Mytilus edulis: one gene and its partner. The protein of the gene in region 2 purifies or fractionates together with the protein of the main gene of each other region. This does not show direct contact. Links are inferred from orthologs where the notes say so. Each region holds a gene or a part of one and is shown on either strand. Other genes may lie near its edges.

Evidence for each region. The genes of interacting proteins can lie anywhere in the genome.
Region 1: the proteins of GTP-binding protein 128up-like (region 2) and N-terminal Xaa-Pro-Lys N-methyltransferase 1-A-like purify together in Homo sapiens (affinity purification with mass spectrometry; 3 studies listed by BioGRID and IntAct, counting the BioPlex papers as one, with this or other methods). This does not show direct contact. The link is inferred for Mytilus edulis from reciprocal best matches to the Homo sapiens genes DRG1 and NTMT1.

What each region holds. Positions count from the first base shown.
Region 1 is NC_092345.1:945,797-953,628, forward strand, and holds the start of N-terminal Xaa-Pro-Lys N-methyltransferase 1-A-like, read right to left. Parts: upstream 3,008-7,832; 5' UTR 2,966-3,007; coding exon 2,816-2,965; intron 1-2,815. Other genes in the region: kinesin-associated protein 3-like, read left to right, coding at 3,337-3,368, 5,560-5,691, 7,776-7,832. UniProt on the Homo sapiens protein: Distributive alpha-N-methyltransferase that methylates the N-terminus of target proteins containing the N-terminal motif [Ala/Gly/Pro/Ser]-Pro-Lys when the initiator Met is cleaved.
Region 2 is NC_092349.1:11,807,639-11,815,516, reverse strand, and holds the start of GTP-binding protein 128up-like, read left to right. Parts: upstream 1-4,862; 5' UTR 4,863-5,008; coding exon 5,009-5,047; intron 5,048-7,878. Other genes in the region: eukaryotic translation initiation factor 4E transporter-like, read right to left, coding at 434-507, 1,297-1,405, 4,780-4,862. UniProt on the Homo sapiens protein: Catalyzes the conversion of GTP to GDP through hydrolysis of the gamma-phosphate bond in GTP. Appears to have an intrinsic GTPase activity that is stimulated by ZC3H15/DFRP1 binding likely by increasing the affinity for the potassium ions.

The DNA.
Region 1 (7,832 bases), on a different chromosome or scaffold from region 2:
TTTTAAGCCGAAAAAGTAGGGACGGTAGGATAACTGGAACCACATGTACACATATATTTTTATTTGGCCTAACGAAAGAAAAATCTGTCTCAAACAATTGACTTCAGTACAACAATCACTTTTCCATAGTGGAGTTAGACATGTCAGATGTTTTCTATTATGATGTCAAAAGTTTAACAGGACAGACAATTCATGAGGAGGGGTAGGAGGGGTCCTGATCAGGATGATCCTGAAATCCCAGGCATAGAACACAAAATCCTGAGGTTCAGAATTAAAATAAATTATTAAATCCTGATATCCCGAAATTTGAAAAAAAGAATTTCTGGATCCTGAAAGGGTCAATCCCGAAATCCTGAGCTTAAAAACACCTGATCCTGGAGTCCCGATAAAGGTCCTATCCCCCCTCTATCATTCAAAATGCAAATAAATATTAAATTCTGAATTGATTGACAAGGGTCAAATGACTTTGAATAGGAGTCCATTTGTACTTCTCGGACTGCTAACTTTAAACAAATATGAACATGATGAAGGTGTTATACATGTACTATAGACGGAGTGTTGGTAGGAGGGGTCCTGATCCTGAAATCCCGGGTTTTAAAACATGAAATCCCCAGATCCCGAATTTAAATCCACATATCCCGAAATTCAAAATACACGAAATAAGAATTCCTGGACACCGAAAGGGTGAATCCTGACATCCTGAGCTTAAAAACACCAAATCTTGGAGTCCTGATAAAGGTCCTATCCCCCCTCTATCATGATTGACTATTAAGTTACATGTATATATGTAGGACTCTAAAGTGCGATGGTCACGCTAAAGTGCGATGGTCTACGCTAAAGTACGATGGTGTCTCACGCTAAAGTGCGTTGGTTGTTAGTTCGCTAAAGTATGATGGTGTATCACGCTAAAGTGTGATGGTCCAAAGGGTAAGATTCAAGGGGTTAAAACATCGAGGTTAAAAAAGTTTTGCAAAAGCTAGTATGCTAAGGTATAACATATGTGATAGGCTTCATAATTTTCCGGTAGGCTTAAGTGATTGTTTCTAAATAAACAAGTTCAACCAAGTAATAAATGCTATAAAGGTACTAATTTATGTGTCGCAAAATATTAAATTTCATGTAAAATGAATTTTTAACAATTTGGAGCGTATTCATGGTATTGAATATTTGGATAATTGGTATATATTGTCGTTCACACCAATGTTACAACCTTCCTTAGAGTCGTCATTGAAAAATTATAAATACAAAATTCGTTCATTGTCGGACAGTCAGGGGACTTACTTAAACAAGTGATTTTCTAAATCACTGATTCAAGTAACATTATTTCCATAAAGGTTGGAAGTTAGAGTTGTCTTTCTTTAACAATCACCTATTTAAGTAGTACAAATTAATCACTAGAAGAAGTGATTTAATTTTATTGTAGCCTTAAATATAAAATACTAATGATCCAGGGACTAATTATGTTTCTAAACTTATCAGAACCAACATCTGTGTTGTCTAGGATAACCAGGTCATTTCAGGTGATGACCTTGTACTGAATCTAGGATAATGACATAAAAATCACTTGTTTAAGTATCAGACCTCAATTTCCTTCCCAAAAATCACTTCTTTAAGTATCATTCTTTTAATAACCCCTACTAATTTCAACACCCCTGAACAGTGAAATTTTTATCGCGAACAGTAAAATTTTATTGCATAATCTGAAAGATGAAACCTTGAACTTCACAGGAAAAATACTCCCACTGCTGTGAAAAATCTTTTAAGAAAGTATCAGTTCATTAAATAAAGCCATTATTATAGCATTTTTTCAACTAAAATGGAATTTTCAGCTAAATGATAGCATCAAAGGCATAAACCTTGCTACTTAAAAGAAGCCAAAAGTTCATATTTTTTAATTTTACTAATTAAAAGATATTATTTAAACCTATATGTGTTTAAAATTTTGAAAAAACTAAAAAATCCCATTTTGTGACAAAACCTCGAATTTGCTACTCAAATAAGTGATTTAAAAATCACTTATTTCAGTAAGTCCCCTGACTGTCGGAATATGCAACAATAATTTTTCTATTTATAAGCTTTTAATCATGTCAAATGCGAGAAAAAGGCAATGTTCGCCTAGCTTTCTCCTTTTTCTTAGCGAGTACAAATACATGTTTTATTTTCCTACAATGTACAGTACAAACAAATGTTTAAGCAGAAAATTTATAATTCACACATAAAAACATGTATGTCTATTTTACCGTCGGACGTATCTTACATTAAAATCAACAGCATTTTAACGAGGATCAAAAGTAAACTGCCACATAAACAATGCTTCAAATGTATCCATTTGCTTCTAATAGAAGCAGGATAAGTATGCCTAGACTGTTTTGTATGTATTTAGTAAATTTGTTCACACAGAGTACAAGTCCTTCCAGCACTCGAAAAAAACATAAACATTGCGCTACAGCCGACAAAGAACGGTTAAGTTTAAATAAATTACTAGTATTAAAGTCATGGACATTTATTGTAAAAATTGTTAATAAAATATTCTGAATCTATCTTCCGACGTGTTCATTTTTGGTTTGTATAAACGACTGATAACGTCATAATCAAACTACGTTTCTTACGTCTATACTTTCGCGGACCATCGCACTTTAGCGAATACCATCGCACTTTAACGTGACCATCGCACTTTAACGTGACCATCGCACTTTAGCGTCCCCATCGCACTTTAGAGTCCTACATGTATATGTAACATGTATAATGGAAATACATGTAATTTGTAAAGTTTTATAAAAATTATACATGTATATGTACTATATTTATTATTTACCGTTATAAATGGTCTTATAAACTCTCTTGAACCGTTAATATCTGTAGGTGAAATTTTTGCAAATCCACCCAACATTCCATCAACTGTTGGAGGAATTGATTCCCAATGTTTCTTTGCATCACCGTAAAATTTCTCTGTTCCCTGATCCATGTTGTTCTGGAGACTGGTTTCCTGTGTATTGAATAGATATTTTGCTTTCTTTTAAAAATTGTGGAAACCAGTATAACATTTTAATCTCTATACTGATTATTCTCAAAATACCTATTAATAACTTGAAGTGTATTTATTTTTAACAAAATAGTTTTATAATAATGAAATTTATTCTATTTACTCGTAATTTTAGGTAATTCATATTATTATGTTTGGTTGAAGACTATATTAAACTGGTTTTCGAACTTGTTATACTATTTTCTGATTTCAAGAGATTAAGGAACCAGATTCATAAATATTTTGCCATGGATGTCCGAATAGAATAAAATTTCAGTAGTTTTGTGTTTAAAATCAAATGAGAATAGTCCAAAATGCAAGTCGAAGAGGCCAGATACTTAAAAAGGTTAGAGATTTTTAGACGATTTTTGTTATTTGATCTACATGTACACATACTTAAATATTGTCATATTTATTTAATATTATTTAATTTTTATGGATATTTTTTTTTGTCTAACGGTTAAGCATCGTTCATTCAGTACTCAGTACTGCCAGAAGTATGTCAAGATGACATTACTATTTGTGCTACATATATAGGTGCCAAAGAAAGATATCAAAATGTCCTGTCAAGAGGGTAAGAATGCCCTTTCCTGTCAGTGTCATGCTTCAAACAGTCATTTTCAGCTATGGTAAGCGTCATAATTGTGATTCGTCCGAGGTCTCAAATAATTATTGTAACTGTTATTTTAAGAAAAAGTAAATGTGTTTTCGTCAAAACCAGTCACTTTTTTATCATATAAAACATGTGTAAAAGGAATGCATTTTATCTAAATACTTACAATGTATGTTGAACAAATCTATCCCATCAAAGACAAACAAGAGATACATGATACTACAGATACAGTTAATTCTGCCTCATATCTTAACTTACATCTAGAAATTGACAATGAGGGTCGGTTGAAAACAAACTTTATGACAAAAGAGATGATTTCAGCTTCCTAATTGTGAACTTTCCATTTCTATGCAGCAAATTTCTGATGATTCAAGCAGCACCTGCATACAGAGAATATATATCCCAATTGATAGGTTATTCCCTGGCTTGTATTTCCTATCATGATTTTCTTGATAGAGGATTACTGCTCACAAATGAAGCTATAGCTATTAAACCAAGAGGACTTACTGAAATAAGTGATTTTTAAATCACTTATTAGAGTAGCAAATTCGAGGTTTTGTCACAAATTGGGATTTTGTAGTTTTTGTTTAAATTTTAAACGCATAGGATTTCTTTTGCTAAGGTCGTCAAATCACTGCCTGGATTCAAACTTTTTACTCTGATTCTAAAATCAAAAATATCTTAATTAGACTCTGTTTCATGCATGTTTTTCATGTTTTTGTTTATAAATAAGGCAGTTATTTTTCTCGTATGAATTGTTTTTCATTGTCATTGTGACCTATGGTTGGTAATTTCTGTGTCATTTTGGTCTCTTGTGGAGAGTTGTCTCATTGACAATCGTACCACATCTTCTTTTTTTATAGTTAGAGACAATATATTTAATTTTTATTGGCTTTACATAATGAACTGATACTTTCTTCAAAGATTTTTCACAGCAGTGGCAGTATTTTTCCTGTGAAGTTTAAGGTTTCATCTTTCAGATTATGTAATAAAATTCTACTGTTCGCGATAACAATTTCTCTGTTCAGGGGTGTTGAAATTAGTGGGGGTTATTAAAAGAATGATACTTAAAGAAGTGATTTTTGGGAAGGAAATTGAGGTCTGATACTTAAACAAGTGATTTTTATGTCATTATCCAAGATTCAGTACAAGGTCATCACCTGAAATGACCTGGTCATCCTAGACAACACAGATGTTGGTTCTGATAAGTTTAGAAACATAATTAGTACCTGGATCATTAGTATTCTATATTTAAAGCTACACTAATATTAAATCACTTCTTCCAGTGATTAATTTGTACTACTTAAATAGGTGATTATTAAAGAAAGACAACTCTAACTTCCAACCTTTAAATGGAAATAATGTTACTTGAATCAGTGATTTAGAAAATCACTTGTTTAAGTAAGTCACCTGACTGGTGAAGTTGAAATCATCAATTTATAAATTTTACGGATGCCATCACGAGTTGGTTGACCGTTATGAAATAACCATTTCATAGATGATATCAGATATGTTCCTTATGTCGTAACTACAATACCCTTCCCTTTTCACGACTGTGACCTACCAAATTAGACTATTTACATGATTTATAACTATTTATCATGTCTACATTTAAAACATCTCTATTCTGTAAACATGGTAGAAACATATAAATGTAACTACGTTTATTACTATTTTACATTGGGGGATGATCTCTGGTCCTGCTGGTGCTCTGGAAGGGTAATCAGATTCAGCTCCACAAGAACCACCTGTCATGTTGGTCAGGGAATTACTCAATACAAAGTTGTGATTGAAGACGTAGATTTTGAGAAAATGCATAAATGATGCTTTCAAACAGTCAAGTGTAATATATTTCATGTATATTAGAATCTAAGAAATTTAATAAATTTGAGAATGGAAATTTTAACATTTTTTGTTATTTCAGAAAAGTAAAATTCAGTAGTATTGATGTTCATCCCACAGAAAAAGCTTTGGTAGTTAATTATGAACTGGAGGCAACAATACTTGGAGAATTGGGAGATCCAATGTTAGGGGAGAGGAAGGAATGTCAGAAAATGTACGTTTATACTTTCTTGTGTACTTTCTAAATGCTGTATGGTCACTGCAATGAGAAAAACAAATAAATTTAGTTATAATCTTAAAAATCCTTCTCTTCATTGTCTGATTGTAACTTACTTTAATTCAGATTTCAGATTCTTAATTAGATTTATAAGTAATATTACATTAGTCATGTTAGTGTTGTCCATTAAAAATCATATAACATGTATACTATATATACATGATATACAAAACAATATTTCAAAGTTTCACATGCAATGACATGTATAATAATATAATTGTAACCATAATTTTAAGAATTGTTTAAATAAGTTAGTCATGTACATGTTAGTAGTACGGTTAGGAGAATTTTTGAATCATATAAAAATTTGTTAAACTCAACCATCATATATAAGTACCATCTGTTTTAAAGACCCATATCATTAATGGGTATGTATATGTTACAGGGAATTTGTGAAATCAGTGATTTTTACAAAATCACTGAAATTTCAGGGAATTTGTAAAATCACTGAACTGATTAGTGATTTTATAAAATCCCTGATTTTGACTAGTGATTTTACAAAATCCCTGAAATAATTAAAATCTTTTTTACAGATTCACTGATTAAATTCAGGGAATTTGTAAAATACATTCGTTTTTTTTTATTAAGAATTTCTGTGAAAAAAGACTACAACAGTAACACTCAATATGTATGAGGTTAATCTAGTCTTTATTTTAATATTAAGTGAGCGGTTTTCATGCACAAACCAACTGACAATGTGACATACTTTAGAACAATGGCTCAGGCACAAATGTCTTGAAATCAAGAGCAAACATGTATACCCACAAAAGTTACTTCAAATAACTGAGGTAAAATTAAAGTGCAACATATGGAACCAGGGAAAATATGATAAACATTTTGGAATATTTTGTCAATGAGCCACAGAAAGAAGACAAAACAAGCTCTTATCACTACCGTGTTTGAAAGGAAGTTACTGTTTACTATAGTTTTTCTGTATAATTTCTGTAGAAAATAAAACCAATTATATCAATTTTTTTAAATCAAATATAAAAACTGAACATTAGGTTGATTGCTGTCATTAAAGAAGAAAAACACATATATATGTAAGGTATAAGAAATTGAGTGGGTTCGGGTATGTGATCCAGTGGCAAATATTACATGAATATCAGATCAAGAGCATCTTATTGCTGCATGAAAATTGTTATATAAAAGCAAATAAGTGTTGTATTATTAATTTGCTGCCTACAAAATAACATTTATATTCACAAAATAATAATAATAAAAAAGACAACAGAAAATATTGGTAACCTTGTTGGTGACCTTCTGCTGTTGTTTTTTTTTTCTATGGTCGGGTTGTTGTCTCTTTGGCACATTCCCCATTTCCATTCTCAATTTTATTAATAATTCTTTGTTTTGTACTTGCATGTTTGTGAATAGGTTAATCTAACCAAGCAAAAATAAACAAAGTTTTACCTACTTTGGTCATTTATCAGACACATGTATTCTATCACAAAGTGGTATAACTTTGAAAAAGTTTCTAAAATTTCTCAACTCTTTTAATCCAAATAAAGTAAATATTTTGTTGATAATGAAGGTATGAAGTTCTTCAATGTGAAGATTTGAAAAAAATTTGTTAAAAACGATATTCATCAGATGAAGATGTTTTAAAAATATTATGTATGTCTTGAAGACATGTACAGCATAGTTAAAAAAAAGGCACATATCAATAGCTTATAGTGGTAGGGATGTCACCCAAACTTGTCTTGTAAAAATAAGCAAATTCAGAGCAGTCTAAATACCCGTTTAAATGCCTTTTAGCCATTATCATTATACACAAGTTCTAGCTCATAGTGTTTATTAAACATGTTAAACAAATATATTTCTAAATCATAAGTGATCATTCATTTGGTCTCTTTATATTAAGAAAAACACATTTCTTATAGCATGCTATACTTAATTGTAATCAGGGATTTTACAAAATCCCTAGCTCTATTTTCAGTGATTTTGTAAAATCCCTAACAATTTCAGGGATTTTACAAAATGCATGAAACAGAGTCTAATTAAGATATTTTTGATTTTAGAATCAGAGTAAAAAGTTTGAATCCAGGCAGTGATTTGACAACCTTAGCAAAAGAAAT
Region 2 (7,878 bases):
AATATTTCAATAAACAATAGAAAGTGATTAAAAAATACAGCTGATTTTTACAGAGTTATCTCCTCAGTTGTAAAAGCAGAGATTCTGCATGCAAACAACTATTGTATTTTAACATGTGTAACTACAAAATTATTTTCATATCAAGCTTCTAAACTGAGATTTATTTTTAATTTTTTTAATTGCAGAAGTGAAACTACCTTTTGCTTCAAAACCCATATATAGATCATCAATGCATTTTTTAACATGTTCAATGACTTCATGGTAAGGCTCATTGTTTAAGATTTTAAAATAGGGGTCAATACATTTAATATTAAAATGTAACTAGGGGTCGTTGTATTTAAAATTGGTGTTGGAGGCTCTTTATTACTGGATATGGGTCCTCCACATAAATGGATTTAGAATAGCTCTAACATTAGAAGTAAATACTGCATACTTATCATAATCAGTAGACAAACAAACTGGTCTTTTCTTTGCTGTTTTACTGTTGGCAAACTCATACAACTGGTCCTGTAAAATCAAGATACAACCAATTACAATGTATCATTTTGTTTTCAAAAACATGTACCAGTAAAGTATAAATAGGAACATTGTTGGTGTTAACAATTTGAAGTAACTTTTAGACTTGACAATAGAAATATAAGAAAATATAGTTATATATCGTATACAAACATAAACAAATAGATTATAAATGAACATCAAAAAAAGTATGGCATGTTAAATTTCATTAATATACTGGTTTCAAACTGGATATTGAAGGATTTCAGGTTTTTATATGATATGCTTTTACAATAGTAATTTTAGGGGACCATTTATAGCTTGCTGTTCGATGTGAGCCAAGTGTCTGTGTTGAAGACCGTACCTTGATCTACAATGGTTTGCTTTTATAAATTGTGACTTGGACATGTTGGATGGACAGTTGTCTCATACCACATCTTCATATATATCTATCAACAACTATCATGCCCTTCTGTTTTCATCCTAAAAATGAGTTTCCTAGAACACATTTTTGTTAAATTATCAGCCAATGTGTGAAGTACATGAAGTATGACTACGGAACCTTGACCCTGATGATGTTTCCAAATACCCTCTTATTTGACCAAGTTTCTTGTCAAGACTGCAATAGTTTTTCTTTTACATTGTTTTGCATATTGTAATACTAAAGAGTAAATACAATGTATTGTGTTTTGATGCAAATTGGTCTGGCAGTTCTGTACTGCGACTCTTCTGAATTGTTTCTTTCACAAATGGTCAAAGATTACCATATGTTAGACCTCAGATGTTCCTCTAACAACTTACCCTACTGTAGATATATGCTGGTGTAGGTCCAGGTGTATCAGACCTTGTCAGAACAACCTCTCTTGGGGTATTCCTGCCACTGTCATCAGAATTAAATTCTTTTTCCATTCTGAAATAATAAACATTTTACAGTCACATATCTCTCCACAAAAAAATTTATTCATACAGAAAATGTCTAATGTTACACCAGGAAATCAATTAAATATTAAAGTCAACTGATTAGCCCTCCATGACCAAACTATCAACCTACTATGAAAGTTTGCATTTAGTTAATGCTTTACATCATCATGATCATAATGCTTTTGACATGGAGTCTAGCATGCTATATTCAAAGACTGGTTACAAAATGTATGTCTTGAAAAAGAAAGCAAAAGATACCAAAGAGGCATTCAAACAAAATTGTTAGTCAGTAGGGCCTTTAAAAGCTGACTATACCCTATAATATATATGTTTTTTTTCATTATTGAAGGTGGTACAGTCATGACAGTTGCCTATAATTGCTTACATCCACATTATTTAAAACTCTTGTGGATAGCCATTTTCTTGGCCACAATACCACCTTTAATCTTTAAATTGATGAATCCATGGCAAAACATGAAAAAACACAACATAGACAACCAAAGAATAAGCACATGAATAACTGATACTGGTTTCATCAGGGATCTCCATGGCCTGTTTAACGATGGCACCCCGCCATCGTTCAAATGTCTTGCGCCATCGTCAAATGACTTGCGCCATCGTTAAATTGTCTTGCGCCATCGTTACATTGTCTTCCGCCATCGTTAAAAACTTCATCGTTTTTTGCAGCCCGACGCCATTTTTTTTTCAATTATAATCAAATGCATGTAATTGCATAACCCTTAGGCTTTTTATGTTATAATCCAATACAGTTCTAACGCCTGAGGGATATCCGGATTAAGATCGCTAATCACTTGTACCTGAGCTTGTACAGGTAGATCAACAAACCACACAGGAGAATACTATCTGAGGAAAGACGATCCATTTGTCGAATTAATCAACTAAGTTTTAGCAAATGATTATGATAATTTAGATTAAATAAAAAAATTAATAATCCAGTTACAAAGAAAACAGTTTAACAAGTCGAACACGTGCTTTATTTTGACTTACGTAATCAGCATCCCCCTTTTTTTAATTAGAAGTACAAAATAAGACGCAAAACAGTAAATATTATTTCATTGCAAATAACTTGAATACTAGTACTGCTGTAACGATAATTTAGAATTACTTTAAAAGTTTAAAAGTAAAAACTTAAATATTTCCTGTAAAGAAATATCGTATCGTAATTCCGAATTCATTTCGTATATTACAATCAAATTGATACATCCGCATTTCCGGTTTCTATTCAGACTCGAAAGATGCATGTTGCACAGCATCAATTTGACAGATAAAGTCATTAAAAACGTTTTCATTTGTCAATGTTTGCTTTACAAATCTCTTTAACCTTTTACATAACCCGTACGAATCGTTTTGTTGTTGCTGCAAATCAGCCATACCGGTAATGGGTTCTGAATTTCTGAATATGACAACTGTCCATGAAAAATAAGCTCCACATCATTTGATTTTTAACCCCCATAACAATTACCAAAAATACAAGAAATCTACATGGGGACCTTCATGACAGCTTTTGGTCATTCTCGACTAAAGGGGGACCACGAAGACTTGGCATTTGAATGGTTAAAAACGGCAATAAATGAAAATATTGATACTTCAAATTCTATAATGAAAATTCAAATAAATATAATTTAAATAAGCAATGATTTAGCATGTTCACCATTCCTTGTATAGAGGGATAAAATACTTCAGATCGCGCTACACTATACAGCGTAGACACGGTTTGTGATATGAAAGTTCCTCCATCGTTCAATTTTCATCCATGGAGATCCCTGTTTCATTATAACTAAATTCATCAAAATACAATGGGAAATAATCGTGATAAACTACAGACCAGTAAACTATGAAATTCTTCAATTTGTACAGGTCTGTTTTAAGTTTTAAAAGACTTGTATATAATGCTGATACTAACGTAAGTGACACAGGTTTGTGCTGAGGTACATACGTAAAAAGCGAAAAAAAATAACTGAAGCCCCCAACCAGGTTTGGGATTTTTAATCTGTCATTTGTCTGTGTTGAAGACCAAATGTGGCCATGGGATGTTTTTTTGTTCTTTCGATGAGTTGTTGTCTCTGACACATTACGTTTCCATTATCAAATGTATTACATTTATGTAATAAGGATTAAGGTTTATAAGGGCAGGCAGACTTGCCAAATATCCTGTTACATCAACACATTTCGCTTTTGCCATATTAGAAAATTGTTTACTACACAGAACTCCAAAGGGATTATTAAAAGTGTAATCAGATTATTTCCTTGATGATGATGAGGATGATCGATCGATTGCTGCTTAACGTCCAGCGGCATGATAATAAGCATATTTAGGAAGGGAACATGTTAATAAGAGAACATGTTAATGTAATATTAAGATTTACCCTGCTTTGTATGTAGACCGACACATTGAGCCAGATTTTTAACGTGCTAGCTCTGAAGGAATGTCACTTAACCAGGACACATTATTTCCACCAGTCTCTGCTCTTATTCTTAAATGCAGCGTCCTTAGCGGAGAAGAAGCAAATACCAATTTTAAAGTGTTTGGTTTGACCCGGCAGAGGTTCCAACTCACAACATCCCTCACTCGAGGCTAACACTCTACTATGACACCACCAAGCTGTTTACTCCGTTACAGAGGATAAATAGCTAAAAGTTAAATAGCCTTTAACAGACATGACAGATTGGCAAGGTAAATTGTTACTTACTACTGATAAAACTATACTTGGGTCTTTCTTGGAAAGACATCATTTGAAAACAGTCGAAAGGTTTTCTGTAACCCAATATTATATTTCACTTACCATGCTAACACAATTTTATACTAATTTAGTAATTAAATTTGTAAACAATTTTAGACATTTCTTAGTATCTGAAATAAATCGAAACGGAACAATTAAAATGATGTAAGAGTCATGTCATTACAACAAATCAAGATTTCCAAAAAGATTGACTTTACACAAAGAGGGAGAACAAGAGTATAAGTGCATTGTTTTCATCTCTGTCGATTTTTGATTGATGGCTTACCTTCAGCAGGGCAGAGCCCCGTTTGTGAAGTTTTACACGAAAGACAATACACAACGAAAATGTTATATAATAGGAAACTAAAGTATATCTAAATATGGTCTGGTTAACTATAATGTCGCCCTAATACACGCTGAAACAGATGATACATAGTCCACTTTTGAACGGTTGCAGTACAACATCGGAAAATGTTGGAAATCGCCCGGATACTTGCATGCGCAGAGCAAGATTGACCTAATTTTCATTTCTAAGGTCAAATTTTGCAAAATTTCACCAGTAAATGCAATTATTGATTGAATAAAAAGAGAGAATAAATAATATGCCTTCTTGCAAAAGCACCTCTGATTTGAAATGCACACGCTAATCTGTCTCCCAGATTTTTTTCTCGATAAAAGTCGTCTCACAGACTGCTTCCGGGTCATTTACTTCATTTGGAAATCTTTAGATTTTTCCATCGACAACCATTCCGAACGAACCAAAAATTACAACACATTTCCCTCAGTTTTGTTCAACACATTTTCTCATTTTTAACACTTTTATTAATTGAGACTTTACAGTAAACTTCAAAATGGGTATATTGGAAAGAATATCAGAAATTGAGGCTGAGGTAATATGAGTTTTTGGGCTTTGTAAAACTTCTGGAGTACCCCTTTTTTCATTCATTTGATACCATGGCCATGGGCATGGTGAAATATTACCCACCCATGGAATGAAAAGTCCTATGTTTCTCAAAACTTTCTACTACCAATATGTGGGATAAGCCTTTGAACATGTTGAATACGCTAGTGACATATATGTCCTGTGGCTGTGTTGATAGACTACGTTTGCTAGGAATGTCAGATAAATAATTATACCATATTATGCATGGGGTTTTGCGCTATTTAAAATGTATTGTCACATCTCCATTAAGGATATGATGAACAGAAAATATATGATCTGATGATTTAGTGCCTTAGATCAAGAACATATATATTGATGGGACTTGACTCTATCTAATAATAGAGGATTTCATTGTCGCGTCATTTTTTTTGGGTAAAAAAATAACACGATATGTAAATGAAAATGTGTAAAATATGAAATGGCTATTATCTTAATAATATCTAGTAATATCAAGACATGCCATTCAAACTAGGTAATGAGTGAGGCCAGTGTATTGAACTTGATTTCTGTCACTTCAAATTTGTCATTTATATAATCGAATTCATTTCATCACGGAACTGAATGCAAACAGAGTAATAAAAAATGGTGCAATGGCTTCACAGTAACTGTGAAATTCACAAACCAATATAAAGATCTTTGCATCAGATAAATCACACTTAAATGTATACTGCTTATTTTATATGACAAAATACATTGTATATCTACTTGAAAATAAAACTTTAATTTGTTGTATATTTGTAATAATGTGGTTAATTTATTGAACATTCTCAATGGTTTTGCAGTCAGACGCTTTCAAAATCCATCAATCTCTCGACATACTCAAGGTCGCAGGAAGTTTGGGATTTGATCAACTTTACACTGAAAATCCTATCAGATTTATTTCCTTTTAGATATATATATTCTGTTCCCAGCTTTAATTAATACACCATATATATCTTTGTCTGCCATAACTGGATATCACATAGGTTCCTTTAAATTTTAGTATTATTAAATATGGTGACCAATAACTTCTATGAATTTTATCTCTTTAAAGTTGTCTAATTCATGTCATTGGGAATGATTGCAAATAGTCTTATTTTTTGGTAAAGTGTCCTGAAATCAATTTTATGTTATCATGGTTTTGTTCTAGTTTATGAACTATGGTCAGTTTACTTTATTCTGATGACCTGCAGCCCTAGTGTGCCCAATATCACATGGGCAACATCTCGTTCCTTTTCTAGTTTAATTAGGATCCCATCAAATTATACTAAATTTCTTATTAATCAATTAATAGCAACTTATAAGAAAGTCTTGACTCTTGTACATTTTGCTTGAATTTGTTAGAAATACCTAAAAAATCTTCTGAAATATTTTATTTAACTGGTATTCATATTTAATATTCTCAAGGTAGTCCTAGCTAATTTATTTTAGCACTTAGCAGAGTATACACAATTTGATTGTGAAATAAGATTAGACTAAAAAAATATTATTTATAAAATTACAAATAACAGAAGGAAAATATTAAGGGCTATTCCAGAAAAAAATGTATGGGGGTGGGGGTTGGAAGGCACATTGTATTAATAATACATGGGTGATGGGTATCAGAGCAACTTTTCACACTATAATGCACTATAATTCTCAGTTACAATTGTCTGGGTGGCGTGTGCTGACAAAAACTGCCTTCCAACAACCCCCCCCCCCCCCCACCCCCTACATTTTTTTCTGGAATAGCCCTAAGTCATCTTGAGCAAATCATTTATTTAATTAAAATGGCTTAATTCGTGTATTTTAAAATAAAAATTGAAATTGAAATCAAACTAAAACTATCAAAGACTAAAAAAGTTTAAGTGTGTATAGGAAAAAACTCTTATTTTATTCCGAACATTTTTATTTCATTAAGAATAACAACAGAATAAAGAAATCAGCTATTCTTAACACAAGCACTGACTAAAAGAAATTGTTTTCTAAATAAAATTAATATTTAAACATCTAATTTTATAATGATTAATGGAAATAATTTAAAAAAAATATATGATTATATTCAACATGTTCAAACATATTTTTAAACATTTATATCTGTAAAAATATAATTGCAATTTAAAATAAAACTAGTACATGTTGGTGACATTCAGTTATTATTTGATTGTATTGTGTCAGTTATGTCGATAATAATGGTGTCGTCCTGTAGCAGGTATTTTCTTTGTAGCTGTTTTGAAACTTGAGAAACAGAACAGACATTTTGTTTATATAGATTAGACCGTTGGTTTTCCCGTTTGAATGGTTTTACACTAGTAATTTTGGGGCCCTTTATAGCTTGTTGTTCGGTGTGAGCTAAGGCTCCGTGTTGAAGGCCGTACTTTAACCTATAATGGTTTACTTTTTAAATTGTTATTTGTATGGAGAGTTGTCTCATTGGCACTCACACCACATCTTCCTATATCTATGATAACATTTCATAACATTTCCCAAAAATTTCATAACCTCATTTTTTGGAAAATGACGCAGTCATTGTTCCATAACTGCCGACCTGATTTCTCTGCCTACCGCGCTTGGTTTCGTATTTACTAATTTCAATACAAACTGGAATGTGCTTGTGTTATCATTATGCATGAGCATTGTGTAGTAATCAGCCAGGAACCAGTTTACAAACTAACTGGTTTCTGTTTGTATTCCACTACATTCGAACCAAAGTGTTGTAGTTTGACAGGAACCAGTCCAGAATTTTGTAAACTACAAAACGTAATCGGTATATTATCATTCCGTTTTGGTGTTTCATACCGACTTATATGGTTTGAATAA